Kluyveromyces lactis: one gene and its partner. The protein of the gene in region 1 interacts with the protein of each later gene in a biochemical or structural test. Links are inferred from orthologs where the notes say so. Each region holds a gene or a part of one and is shown on either strand. Other genes may lie near its edges. The genes, in order: OPY2 and STE50.

Region 1 (3,336 bases):
TGATTTATGTGTGTATCTGTGTTCCCTCGGGGAAACTACGGTTTGCCAGTAGGGTTAGCCTCTTTTTTTGGTTCGACGTAAGTTATTCCGGTTACTGTGGAGGGCCTGTACCCTTGGCATAAGCTGATGTGATGTTTGGGTGAGCAATTGTGATTTAAGAGTTAATCGAAGATCGGACGGGAAGCATATAGGTAGGGTAGCCTAGGGTAGCCCAGGGTAGCATAGCTTAGATATATAAAAACACTGTGGATAGGTAGTATTTTCGAAGTTGGACCGATAATTCTTGGTTCGTTGGCAAATATCGTTTGGAAATCATGTTGGCAGTGAAAATTGCGTATTAAGAGACGTTCTTTTAAGTAGTCAGATTGTGACATGATCGAGTGACATATACATGCAGGGTTCAGTAGATCCTACATTCTATTTGGAAACTTATAGAGCATCGTTGATTTATGGTATATTGCGGGGCTTGTTGGGGGAAAAGGCTCGCATATATACCGAAGGACGCAGGTGCTCCTGACAAGAATTAGCCCGATATAACAGGTCTTATTACATACTGTATCTAAAATTGTACAACTGGTGTGTTACCAAAGATTAGTGGGGAAGGGAAAGTGGTAGTCATGTTTAATGGTGATTACTTGCCATTTCCACGTCCAAGATGAATGATCCCTCGCTGTTTGAGTCAGATGATGAATGCACGGTGGTATGGAACGGATCACGTGAGTCCGAATTGGAGGAGTCCATACTATTTCTATAGTGTCGTATATCTCCTTGTTGCCCTTGTCCTTGTTCTTCTTCCTGTTGCTGTTGAGATTCATTGCCGTGTCCTGCATGACCAATTGAGTTGTCTTGAACATTCGTCTCTCTGAAATGTGATGGATTATCGGTATTGCCCGTTTCGTTAGCCTCTGTTTCGATGTCTTCTTCAGCTTCTTGATCTACTCCATGATTCGCATTTTCATCTTCATCTTCCTCAGCAGTTTCATCGATTTGAACCAATTTCGGTCTAGCTCGGATTGCAGTAGTCATATTATTCGTGGCACCCGCACCATTATTATTATTCCCTGCAAATGAACCGCTTTCTTCCTCGTTCAAATCTTGTAAGTTCTGTTGGAGCTCGTCGTCGTCATCTTCATCACCGCCAAGAATACTGGACCCCAATGTAATATGTGACTTTCGATCTGAATCCTGGTAAAATCTTCTTGAACCTCTTCCTTGGCCTTTCCTCAAATTCTTCTTCGTTAGATTCGTGGTGACACCTGGGATATATGCTACAGGGATGATATTTGATGCGGTACTGGTCTGAACGGTGGCAGCGCTACTTCTATTTCTCTTGTTCCTTTCTCTGACGCGTGATGACGAAGAGCCAACACGAAGCATGCCTGGATGAAGCGGTGATGATCCGTTTGGATCAAGACTCGTACCTTTTTCCATATATTCGGGATCCTGGGGCAATGCAGACCGTTTTCTTTTATAATATCTGTAATACAAGAAGCCCAACACCACGACTATGACTACGAATGCGACACCACCGACGACACCACCAACAATAGGTCCGACCTTATTGCTGGAAGAGGACGACGAAGAAGACGCTCCGCTAGAAATAGCAGCCGCAGACGATGATGATGATGCACTACTACTGCTTGAAGATGCCTTCTTCTGACAATAGGTTCTTGGGCATTGTGTGCACGTTAATGATGTTGTGACACAGTACTCATCATCATCACATTCCGGGCACGTTACATTGTTATCACAAGTGACACAACCATCTTGCAACGAAGTTCCGGAGCTTGCAGTACTAGTGCTAGAACTTGAAGCTGTGCTTGACACACTGCTGCTTACAGTACTGGATACGCTTTCCGACATTTTTCAAGCCGGTACTAGATCGCCAAAACTATATTTCAGTATCACTTCTATGGTGAATAGCTCTGCTGCTGAAAGAACGCGATGAGCAGAATGAATATAAAGTCAACAGACAATATTAAACCGGGAATGGCCCTGTTTATCTTGACAATAGAGAAAGAGCTAGCGGTAAGGGTGGATGGTGGAAAGACCTTGTGGTTCCTTGTCAGATACAACAGATTTTGGAAGTAGTTCAGTATGATATCTGTATGGAATCTTTGATTTTTCGCTGTCTATGGAAGAACCAAAAAAAAAAACCGAAAATACAAAACTCGAAGAGAAGACTGAAAGTGAACCAAAAGTTTTTAACTGATTGACTAATGGATTTATTGAAACTGCTCTTTATTCTATATTGTAATGTATGCCTGTAATTGGGCCAACTCCAGAATTTATAAAACGACTGATTTTTTTTTTTTGGAATAGAATACACAGGCCTCTGAGGCAAGAAACAACCCCATTCAGATTCTTTTTAAACTATTATATTTTTGGATCGCGTCAGCGTTTCAACGTGCGGAATTCTAAATTCTTTGAACGTTGTTTTACATTGCCCAAGAAAAATACTTCACCGCTTCCGTAGTACGTGAAATTCCTCATTTGTAAAGGCCTCTCACTTACCCAATACCACCTTCATTGCAATTAGCACATACCGTTCACTGGAAAATCCAGCTAGCTATCATATTCATTGCACGTTCTGGCTGAATACATGGCTCTTGGTACTTCCCGTTCTAAGCTAGCCAGTCGTCTTTCCTTTTCCTTTTCCTTTTGGCGATTTTCCAAAAGAAAAGAGTGAGCGGATCAGATCCTGAATGTTTTCAAATTCTCGAGCTTGGATTCCTGAATTCTGTGTCACGTGTGTATAAACTTTTCAGTTTTGTTTGAAAGTAACTCGGTGCAACCGGGTAATACGTTATGCAACTCAGATTATCTGTCACTTGTGCCTCCCCTCCCCTTCAACTTAAAAGGTTACAAGCGTACACAGAGTTAACACAGAAATAGTCAACGGGTTCACGATACAGTCCCAATACATATCTGTACCTGATCGCGGCTGCGGGACATTAAAGTACTTTCTGTCATTCTAATTTAAACGAAGAAATCAATTGATATCTTGAGCTAATTCATGTTTTTGTGATACTATATAAGTATAAAGGGTATCATCTTCCTGGATTCAATCTTGAACCGTAGATTAATAACTTATAAGAGACTAAATCCCGCTAGTTAGATGTTTTATGTGCCGTATTCGCTTGCATTCTTTAATATGAGCCATTCTGTTCCACGTTAAGCACAGAAAAATAAAAAATTCCAAAGTTTAACTGAAAGATGAATCAGTTGATCTTAAGCAAGTAAAAACGTCGGACGGCTCAACCAATCAACCGAGCAAATACCTCAAGGACAAATAAACTATGAAAATTGATAGTACACCATTGAAAGAAGGTCAAT
Region 2 (3,098 bases), on another chromosome or scaffold:
GAGACATTCACAGCATTCTACCGTCCATTACCGTTAAAATATTTGAAAACGGATATACATGAACATATGGCTCTTTTCGAACAAAGAGAACAGCAAGCTCAAGAAGAAGTACAATCATCTATTGTTGATGAAGATGGTTTCACATTAGTAGTAGGAAAGAATACAAAATCATTAAACAGCATAAGGAAAAAGATATTCAACAGAAATCCATTATTAAAGCATGAGAAACCTAAGAAGATGCCTAATATGGTTGACAAGAAGGCAAAGAAGGACTTCTATAGATTCCAAGTCCGTGAAAGAAAGAAGCAGGAAATTAATGAGTTGCTAGCCAAATTCAAGCAAGATCAAGAAAAGATAAAGGAGATGAAGTCCAAAAGAAGGTTCAACCCGTACACATAATTATTTGAGAAAACTTTCCTGATAAGGTGCTCTATTTGTTATTTACTATAGTTGAGAATGTGTCTTTGTACAACATACGTAACTCTTATAGAAAGAGATAATTAATCTATCAATACAATTATTCGTTCATGAAAGCTCTAAAATGAAAGTTTATGGTTGCTTGCCAAGTGTTTTTTCCAGTTGATGAAGGAGGAGATAACAAACATTATAGCCTACCTCCCGGTGTTGCTGCCATTTCTCCCACTTCCTCAAAGTCACCTTTTTGTCTTAACATAATTGCAGGATGCAGGCCTTGTTGTTTTAAAGACTTGAAGATCTGTACTGGTTTTTCATCGAGATCAAGAACTCGTTCTTGATCTCCATAGCATATCACTAAAACATGCTGTCTCCAATCCGTTTCATTCAAATTGTGCCTCTTCATCGCATTTCTTAAAACCTTTTCACATGAATCCTCCTTTGAGGCACGTAATTGTTTCATAGGTTCTGAACTTGGAGCTGATGATACTCCAGCTCCGCCTGGAGTATTCGCCGATCCGGGTGTGGTGGCAATATGTGACGATGAAACATTTCTGGTGCTTGAAGATTGTGGTGGCAGCCCTGGATTGGAATTCGATCTGTATTTGGGTGATGATGGCGTGTGTGAAGAATGGTGTGGAGCTCTATCGAAGTAATCTTGCGAAGAAGGTTGATGTTGAAGTTGTTGAGAAGACTGAGAGGAACCTGAACCAGATCCACTGTTCCTCTTCACGATTTCCAACAAATCCAATCTGAGTTGCGCATAATTAGATTGGAATTCTTGTAACTTTTCATTTAACGTCTGGTGTAAGCCTTTCATAGTCAACACTAATTCTTGTTCCGGTGCTTGTTCTTCCGTGTCAACAAATTTGTTTATGCATGTCTTAAGCCTCACGGCACTAATGCTATCAGGACATAACTCCTTGCAATCGGCAAGTGTGATTTCAGATAACGTAGATCCAGTTATCTTGTTCTCTCGTATTCTATCTAGGATGAATGTATCTCCGTCCGTTAATCCAAGTTCTGCTTTGACTTTCTTGCAAACCTCCTCAGTTGACCATTCATTTGTACCGCTCATTATTTGTTTTTGTTTCTATGCCTGTTCTTAAGAGATGTAAAAACACAATTGAATCACTGGTTAGCCACTGATCAATATGCTTCTGTTGGCTCAATGATATGCTCCACAGACTGAGCTGTTCCCCGGATCTCCTTTCATCAACTTTCTGGTATCACTTGGTTTTATTCAAATAATCGATTAAGTTTAAATATAGATTTTCCCATATTGTCGGAAATCATAAAGAAATGACAAGGAACCCTGCGAATATTCTGACATAAGATTCCTGGGGAACGGGGTAATCCTGTTACTACATTCGCGCTAGAAGTATTTCGATGCAATCGTAACTTTGATTCATTTATTTACAGGACATACGTGTGGAAAATATACAACTATCTATCATTCCAACGGCCATGGTTTATACTCTTTCTTTCCAAATGTCATCGGAGGTACCTTTCCTTTCTTGGTTCTTCTGCCACTGCTCTTTGTGCCATTCCTGTACCTTCACGGGATCTTTACTATGGATCACACAAAACTTAAATTTCTCGAATTCTTTCAGACATTCGTTCATGTGGCCATGTCTGTAGTAATTTCTAAACTGACCTCCTAAACTGAAACATCCTGTTAACTGATCAAATGCATCAGTGCAAGACATTGTTGTTGGATAATTAGATGACATAGTGTTGAATATCGTTTACAGTCTATGATATTTTCTATTTGGTAAGTAGCTGTGGTAATGGTCAAAACTGGGCGGACTGGTTTGCTGCTTCCGTAATCAACCTCCTTCTTTCGTTTTGTAGATTGCTCTTTATTGACAAAGATGTTTAAGCTGTAAATTATAGAATTTTGGATTTTTTCAACTAGCTTTCTGCAAGAAGCCGATGAGCCATGCTATCGTAAAGAGAAAACAACTGGAAACTCGCATTTGTAATCACCATCGGATCTATTGTTCAGCTTTCATTATTTTGTTGATAGGTATAATTCTTAAAGTTTTACCACTCCATAATTGTTTCACACTTTTGATGCTCTCAAGAAGTTGTTCAAGGATTTTATCTTTAAACTTATCAAAGCAATTTTACAGAACAATGAATAGCACCGGTAAATGGAATCCGAGTTTGACTTCAGAACAGCTAAGAGTACTACGTGATAAGGGTACGGAGAGACCAAACACAGGAAATTACTTGCACAACAAACAAACAGGGATTTACTCATGTGCAAATTGCGATTTGCCTATTTATAAGAGTGAGACGAAGTTCGACTCAGGCTGCGGATGGCCTGCGTTTTATGATGCTATACCGGGATCTTTAACTTTTACTCGCGATGAATCGTTTGGGATGGTTCGTATAGAAATATGCTGCAGTAGATGCGGTGGTCATATGGGGCATGTGTTCGAAGGGGAGGGATGGCAGAAAATCTTGAATTTGCCAACTGACCAAAGACATTGTGTCAACAGTTGCAGTTTGAACTTCAAGGAAGGTTAGTGCTCACCAGATTAGGCAAATAGTTGTAGGTTTGCAATTATTTAGCTCACTTAGTTATATTAGGTGTACAATATTACACAATTAAAACAGATGGCTCTACGGTTTTTTACGCTCCGCCAGGAGATCGCATCAATTCTTAATTTTATTGT

What was found.
Region 2: the proteins of OPY2 (region 1) and STE50 form a complex in vitro, tested with the Saccharomyces cerevisiae proteins (3 studies listed by BioGRID, with this or other methods). The link is inferred for Kluyveromyces lactis from reciprocal best matches to the Saccharomyces cerevisiae genes OPY2 and STE50.

The regions. Positions count from the first base shown.
Region 1 is NC_006038.1:796,295-799,630, reverse strand, and holds OPY2 (Opy2p), read right to left. Parts: upstream 1,864-3,336; coding exon 622-1,863; downstream 1-621. Other genes in the region: KLLA0_B09108g (uncharacterized protein), read left to right, coding at 3,300-3,336.
Region 2 is NC_006039.1:104,206-107,303, reverse strand, and holds STE50 (Ste50p), read right to left. Parts: upstream 1,493-3,098; coding exon 605-1,492; downstream 1-604. Other genes in the region: RRP7 (Rrp7p), read left to right, coding at 1-399; EMI1 (Emi1p), read right to left, coding at 1,887-2,147; MXR2 (peptide-methionine (R)-S-oxide reductase), read left to right, coding at 2,350-2,949; LSB5 (Lsb5p), read right to left, coding at 3,079-3,098.